Macaca mulatta: one gene and its partner. The protein of the gene in region 2 interacts with the protein of the main gene of each other region in a biochemical or structural test. Links are inferred from orthologs where the notes say so. Each region holds a gene or a part of one and is shown on either strand. Other genes may lie near its edges.

Region 1 (3,829 bases), on a different chromosome or scaffold from region 2:
GTGCACCTGTAGTCCCAGCAACTGGGGAGGCTGAGGCAGGAGAATTGCTTAAACCAGGGAGGCAGAGGTTGCAGTGAGCAAAGATCACACCACTGCACTCCAGCCTGGGTGACAGAGTGAAACTCTGTCTCAAAAAAAAAAAAAAAAAAAAAGAAGCATTTAATATTTGTACTGTCTAGAAGACATGGATTAAGGAGTAAAATCAGCATATTTTGGAAAGAGAGGGTGGAAGGAAGGAGAAGGCCCTGATTCTGCAAGTCATGTCAAAGACCCAGCTACCAAGGGGCTGAGGCAGAAGAGGTGGGGTGGGTGGGCGTGGATCCCGGTACCTGATAGGCTTCATCCTGCAGCTTCTGTTTCAGGTATTCCTCCATCTTGAGCTCATTCTCCAGCTGCCGGACAGAGTCATTTTCGTAGTTTTCATCCTCAGGCCGCACATAGGGATCTGCATCCTCCGTAACCCTGAGAAGAAACCACAGATGACATTTTAGAGTGAATCTTAAAAGAGAATTACAAGTGGGATTCGTGTGTGAGCTGTAGTTTATTGGCACCTTTATTTCTCCTTAGTTCTCCAAGTCACTTTCATGTCTTCTTTAGTAATACCTAAAGAAAAACTTGGAAACATTTTGGAGGTTGGAAGCAATATATGATCAAGGTATTTTCATACACAATTTTTTTATGGCAGTTGTGGTCATAGGTCATCTCTTTTTTTCCTAGGGTTTACTGAAATGGGTTGGCCCTTTAAATGTTCTATAATTTAAAAAATGGCAAACATCTTTTGAGGGGATACAAAGTTTTCCCAATCAGAGGGCTCTTTTTATTCTTCTTCAAAATAGAACCCAAGATCACTTTCTGTATGGAGAGTGAGCCCTCTAGTGAAGTAATGCTTAAGGACATTTGGTTTTAATTTAGTCTCTTTTGTGTTACCCACACATGCACATACACATATGAATGCACACCACATTCATGCCTTATTTTTACAGAATTAAGTCTAAGAACATCAGCTAGTCGATGCCAGGAGGGCTACTAACCCATAACTCTTGATCTTAGCTCTAAATATGAAAAAAAAAAAAGCATTTTAATTATCCAATTCCACTCTGAAATAAATAGTTAAAAATGACTTCATTCCCTGATGTGGGACTCTGTCTCCATCTATTCATCCTAGACTATGCAAAGCTCTTCATGGGGCTGGACGTAAGCTTGCTACCTAAATCAGAGGACTAAAGGATTCTCAGGGTAAGACACAAGGACATGTTTAGACAATAGAGATATTAAATTATTCCCTAAAATGAAATAAGTGGTCAAGAAGAAGTTTCTAGGCTGGAACTTGAACGTCGTTGTTCATGTTTATTTATAGCTGTACAACTTGTTCTGGTTATTTTTGGAGGTTTGGGGCCAGCCTAAATGGGTCTGCCTAGGCCTCTGTTAACTTTCCTTCCCTAACTCCTGACTCACATGTTGGTAGCTGGTACTGCCACTCAGCGTACCAGGGCTAGAAGATTAGGGTGGCCCCAACAGCCTTGGCCTTTAGAATTGGGACAAGGAAATTCTAGCTAACTGCCATATAAATGCTTAATAATAAAAAGTCAAATAGATACGCATTTACCAGACAAAACAGATGACAACTAATTCACTATTTTGAATAACAAATCCAACAATTCTAGAATACAGAAGAAAGGACAAGAAAGCAAACTCTATTAAGCAGCAGCGTACTGCCATGTTAAGTCCCATTATAATGGTTTTGTTTTGATCCTATTCTCTGCTGCTTCACAGCTGACTCTCAGACCACAGCTCTTGATAATTCTCCATGATTACTGATTGTTTATTCACTGCTGGGATTGGGAGCCAGACACCAGAAAGGCCTCAGGTTAGTTTCTTCTCTGAGTCTTTAACATGGCCAGTTTATTTTTATACACTAGTCTGAAGTACTTTTCGTATTAAGCAACACCACCCTTCTGTAGTATTTTTAGCGTTCAGACGCTCCCTCCCCCAGCTTGTGCCCACGTTTCCCGTAACTCCACGAACCATGGTCTCCTAACGGGCCACTTTCTTCCCTTCTTTTGTTTTCCTCCTTTCCCTCCCAAGTTGGGCTCTGCAGCTCTGTCCCAGCTTTGCCTTTGTTTCTCAGCTTTGGTTTTCTCTGCTGACTACTTTGAGCTGATCCAGGGTCACAGAAAGTCTAGTGGTCACAGGACGTCACTGATGCTGCTGGTTTCTGACAAGCTCCAGAACTGGGTGGAAACTTTCGCAAATAAGTCTTTAGAGGGTCAGATGTATACATATTCAACAAGTCAACCAAACTGGATTTCTTTATAATGAGATTTTATACATGTACTTATTTCAATTCCAAATACTTATATGATGTTGTTTACACCAATTCTGAACAGAGACCTCTCCAATGTCATGGTATCCTCTAAGTGCAAATACAATAAGTTCAGAAGATAGGATGATTTATCTCCTGAAGTAGTCTGAGTCCTAAAAGGGTGGCAGCAGTTTTTTAATACTATTTTGTATAGAACTAGCACTGTGCCTTGGGCAAGGCAGGCTCTTGATAGGCACTGGTTGGTTTAGGTTATTGATAACTCTCTGGAAATTGTAAGAGGGGAGATATTACAATGCCGAATTTATATGTAGCACCATTCTGTATCTCTGGCAGAAAAGAAAACTATGTCACCCCTTTTGAAGGTTAAAAAAAAACCCTAAACAATTATGCTTTTACTTTCTTATTGCCTCCTACGGATTGTTTTGTTACTGAGAAAATGCCTCCAAGCGGAAGATACTCACATGTCGCCACGCATGGTACTTGTGGTAGCTCCACTGTGAATATACCCAGGTTTTCGAGCATGGATTTGCGCTAGAAAAGCCTTTTCAGAGGTTGGTGAGGGAACAAGATCCTCAAACTGAGTCCGTGCAAATTCAGAATCCACATTACTCTCTGTTTCACTCCCAACCTCTAGCAGATACAATTGAAGAAATAAAGAGTGACTTGTTAGATTTTTTATGACCTGCAAATAAGGGAGTAGGCTTAACAAATCAACCTGTGCTGTGTAAAATGTTAACCAGTTATCATATTTTAATCAAGTACATTTTTATTTTTTCAAAATACGAATTGATATTGATGTGAATTACTACAAAATCAGTTGGTATACAGCATTTTTTAAATCTCAGAAATGTTATGAGGAATTTTTGCCATCTTAGTAACTGACTTAACTTTTTAAAACTTCTGGTTTTTCCCTTCTGTAAGAGACTTAACTAAAATTGTTACTTTTGCTTAATATTACACTAATTTAAGAAATATGAGTTAAAACCTAAACCTAACCATAAAGTATTCACCTAAAATGCCTCAAATATGAACTTAAAATATGAAGTGAACCCTATCACTTAATACTTTAAAGAATTATGGGTATAAACTAACAGTGCTTAAGACTGCTACACCAAGGATAACTTCATACTCATCATTTGCTAGGGGCGTGGCTACCTGCCATTAATCATGATGTATTAACTACTATCATTTAATTCTGTTTGGTAATCTTAATTTAAATTAGTAGCAACAATTTTCAATTGAGAGGCTTTAAGAAAGTTAAGTCCAGGATTTTTTTAATACTGAAGTTTTATTTCTTATAGCTGTTGTAATCTCTACCATAAGACCATAGTCTTGCCAGACAAATCTCTTGCTAGGTCGGCCTTAAGGAATAGACGGAGATGCATTAGTAACTGGTAGGATATTTATTTGCATATTCATACTGCTAAAGTTTTGAACACTCTTTGTAGTATTAGGAGGATAAAAAGTCTCCTTAAATTTTATGCATTTATTTCTGGGCAGATCTAT
Region 2 (4,466 bases):
AAGATATAAAGGGGACTTATACTCTGGGCAGTAATGTACCTCATAGCATAGAGGGACACTGATGCTAACATGTAGACTTAGAGCCAAATCAGCCCCACAACAATTGTTTTCATTTTTTTATGTTGTTTTATGAAAATTTTGCTTATATGCATATTTAGACAACCACACAGAGGAAAGGAGGTGACCTAGGGAAAAGAATGTTTTCAATTAAAATTAAGCCTTATGTTTTATCTCATACACATTTTGCTGGGGAAAATAGCCATGTTATGACAATAATATTCTAAAACGCAAAATGTATAATTAACTATTAAGGTAAACATCACAGTCTGACTCTATAATTTTTTTTTATTTTTGTCTATTACTCATTTCAGTCGCAAGCAGTTGAATGTTTGACATAGAAAAATGAGTCTGTCACTTTAACAAATGGTACAATAAAAACACTCAAACAAAAATTTTAGTAGGGATTATTATAACTATAAAAAGAATATCTTTCTTTAAAAAATGCTACCAATGTTTTCTATCAATTTGGGGCTCGCCTGTTGCATAAAAGTAATAAGGAACAAGATGAAGAAGACTTCTATTGGCAAAGAATGATTTACATGCTGAATGACATAATACAACTGCATTCACTTAATACAGAAAAAAAAGAGCCTGCATTCAGAACCATTAAATGATCATTAACTCAATGTCTAAGAAAATGGTGTTTTAAGAATTGGCAGCAGAGAAATGGAAGAAAGAATAATTTGTTAGTAAAGAAGTTTTATCATAATTCACAACTGAAATTTAGGATTTGAGAAAAATGTCTTTGCTCCATTATAAGAATATTCTTTATTTTAGCAGGAAAACATGTCCCATGAGACCTACACACACATTCTGCCTTCAGAATTCAGCTGCTGTGTTCTGCTGCTGCTTCTCTTATTCAGACTGTTGGCATCATCAATACATGACTTTTGCAATCAAAAATCTCAAGGGGAAAAAATAACTTTGGTAGGCAGTGGATACATAACAAATGCATAGATTATTCTGGGCATTTCTTTTTATTTGGTAGAGTGAAATTTTTGGTGTTGTTGAGAGGATAAAAAAGGCATTTAAAAGTCAATTTTAAATCGGGATTTTCTGCTCTGTTATAAATTCACATGAAAGTTACAGAAAATATTGTTATGGTTTTGTACTGAATAGTTTTTGTGTTTGGAAGGCTTTAAAAGCTAGTACTATGTCCACTGTGCTATTCTGGTTTGGATATTAATCAGAACACAGTTGAGCTTATTTGAATTCACAGAGCTTGCCATGCTGGAAGCACAACCTTATATGTAGTGACCATGGACAGTCCTATTATGGGAAACCAACTTGAGAGAGAAGGCGGGTCACTTGCTTGTGCGCAGGTCCTGGAATTTGAAATATCCAGGGGCCTCTACAGAATCCTGGCATCAGTTACTGTGTTGACTCACTCAGTGTTGGGATCACTCACTTTCCCCCTACGGGACTCAGATCTTAGAGGCAATTACCTTCAGAGAAAAATGAATAGGAAAAACTGAAGTGTTATTTTTTTAAAGCTGCTGAAGTTTGTTGGTTTCTCATTGTTTTTAAGCCTACTGGAGCAATAAAGTTTGAAGAACCTTTACCAGGTTTTTTTAATCGCTGCCTTGATATACACTTTTCAAAATGCTTTGGTGGGAAGAAGTAGAGGACTGTTGTAAGTACAAAGTAACTAAAAATGTATTTTACTGTGGCATAATGTTTAGTTTGTGACAAACTCACTAATTAGGTAGATTGATTTTAAATTATCACAGTAGTTTGCAAAGAAGCATAAATGTTATATATACTGCATATATATATGTATTTATTCAGGAATATATATTTTTCATTGGGAAAACTTTTCAATAGAAATTGAGTTTATAAGTTTTTCTTTGCAGAAGAATTAAACACATGATTTCTTGATTAATAAGCCACTGCAGTAATAGAATATGCAGAATGTCATTTGATTATAACATATTATTTTGATTGCTGTGAGATAGTTTGTATATCTCAGTTATTATTTTGACTAGTTGATACTTCTGTATTTAGTAACAGTTACATAAAGGTTACTGACCTGACATATATTCTCAATTGAACTAACTACTGTATAGGAACTACATGGAGGCCTAAAAGTTAGGAGAAGTTTCTCTGACATATGGAGAAAATAAAGAATAAAATGAGTTGGGATGGAAAATTGAAGGATGTGAAAAGTATTGATAAAGATTTAATTGTAATGTTGCTTTCTCACATTTACTATTTCAAATGCTCTTTTCTATAGCATACCATGATGATTATTTCAAATAATGATGTGATCTATGCTATCAAATGATCAGATGATCTCTTGGGAAAACAACATACAAACTTGAGGAACTCCTAATTATGTTTAGTAGTAAATTATATTTAGTAGATGTTTCAAGTCTATCATGAGCTAGCTTTTCAGTTCAATTTTTTGTTTGTCTTCCATATAGAAATGCAACTATTTTGTTTATTTTTAAGAAAGTCATGATGACTATTGAAGGATTTAAAAATGGACTGTGGCACAACAGTAAAATAATATATGATAAGGACTGTGTGTCCCAAAAAGATGGGAGTTTATCTCTTCCCCACCTATCTTTGACTTGTGGAGTATAGTTATTCTAAAATAGATATGAGAGCGATGCCTATAATTAAGAATGAAAAAATAAGTCTCTCCAAATAAGTAATGCTCCACAACTACTAAAAAAAAAAAAAAAAAAAAAAAAGGCAGACGTTTTACCACTGTGAAAAATTTGTGGAAATAAGTTAACATTGTCCATGTATTGAGTCACATTAAAAGCTACCAGATTTTATAATACAACATTTAGTTACATTGTTTGCTTGCTTCATAAATTTCTTTTGGTGAGTATCATTATTGCTTTTAGATTGAAAAACTATTATATTTACTATCATTACAAAAATATGCATGGCATATATCTGTTGTTTGCAATATACACATATACACATATTTTTATTTATCATTTTTATTTCTTTGATATATGTAATATAAATACTATCAAAATCGCTAGTGATTTTATATATATATATATATTCTATATAATTAACCACATATACCAGTATATAGAGCAATTTTGAAAGAATATATGCAATTCTGCTGGAATGAAGCAAGGTAAACCTATCCTCTGCTTTGTCGTAGATAGTTGAAAAACTTTCAGTTCTTCGAATGTGAAGGAAGGTAATCTTTTTGGAACATGTCCTGTAGGATTTTTTCACACTGCATTTAAAAAATCATCAAGTAATGCCTATGCAACATGACAATGAGTTTGTTAAGGAAAATGGAGATATACTCAGGGCTATATTATACATTAAATTTTGTTGCTTGACAATATACTACTATTTGGATGTCTGACATTTGAATCTGGTTTGTAAATTCGCCTTAGTTTGAAAAACTTACAAAAGTACATTTTGTTTTTTAAACAGAATAGTTACTCTGTAAAAGAGATCACTGTATTGTCAAACACATTGTATTGTTTACTTTTAGAATTACTCAAATAATGCATTGTAAAGAATTATTCAAATAGTGTATGGCAAATAGATATTTCATTTGAATATATTTAAATGATGTAAGTCATCTTGAGGTCTAACAAAATCATCTTTTAGAATTTCATTTGCAGAATCTTTTAAAGACATCTTAACTATGAAAAAGAGATCGCTGATCTAAATTGATAATATACTGTTAATACAAAGTTTTGGTATATCTTACATGGCATAACATTATGAAAAATACAACAGAGTATGTCATATAGATGTTATTCTAAACTTTAAAAAAGACTACAAAGTGTTTTATGCATAATTACATTATTTAAGGGGAAATAGGTGTTGGTTGACACTTCTAGCTAGACAGTACTGAATTGCAAATTCATCATTTGGGCAGAGATATTAATACAGCTTCCTCTTTATTCCTATAGCATTCATTTGAAATCCCTGTACTCCACGTCATTTGCTATATATGAAACAAATTGTCAAGTTTTTAACCACTTGTGTAGTTTAATAAAAGAGATTAAAATCATTGCCTTGGAAACATCAGGTGTTTTTCAAAATTCTATTTTATTATCTTTCATCAAAATTTTATCTCAAGAGTAAAACAAACTGATTTCCCAAACTTTCCTTCTCCTCCCACTTTCTATTGTAATATTTTCCTAACTTATTAAAAATGATTTATCATACTCTTTCATCAATTTATTCTTTATTTCATCACACATATGAGAAATACAATATTTTGGTATGCGTATATATGTTTATATATACGCACATTGATATGCATTCAAATCACAGGGTATTAAGTTTCCTAAGAGGGTCTAATTAGAAATTAACCTTGAAAGATAATTTTCTGTTCATTTTTCTAAATTTTCTATTTTAAACACACATCAGTTTTTAAGGAATTCACAAATGAGACTAATGTACGTTAACTGTCT

What was found.
Region 1: the proteins of DMD (region 2) and DTNA form a complex in vitro, tested with the Homo sapiens proteins (3 studies listed by BioGRID and IntAct, with this or other methods). The link is inferred for Macaca mulatta from reciprocal best matches to the Homo sapiens genes DMD and DTNA.

What each region holds. Positions count from the first base shown.
Region 1 is NC_133423.1:57,583,679-57,587,507, forward strand, and holds part of DTNA (dystrobrevin alpha), read right to left. Parts: intron 2,954-3,829; coding exon 2,785-2,953; intron 463-2,784; coding exon 330-462; intron 1-329. UniProt on the Homo sapiens protein: May be involved in the formation and stability of synapses as well as being involved in the clustering of nicotinic acetylcholine receptors.
Region 2 is NC_133426.1:33,158,860-33,163,325, reverse strand, and holds the start of DMD (dystrophin), read left to right. Parts: upstream 1-1,426; 5' UTR 1,427-1,662; coding exon 1,663-1,693; intron 1,694-4,466. UniProt on the Homo sapiens protein: Anchors the extracellular matrix to the cytoskeleton via F-actin. Ligand for dystroglycan.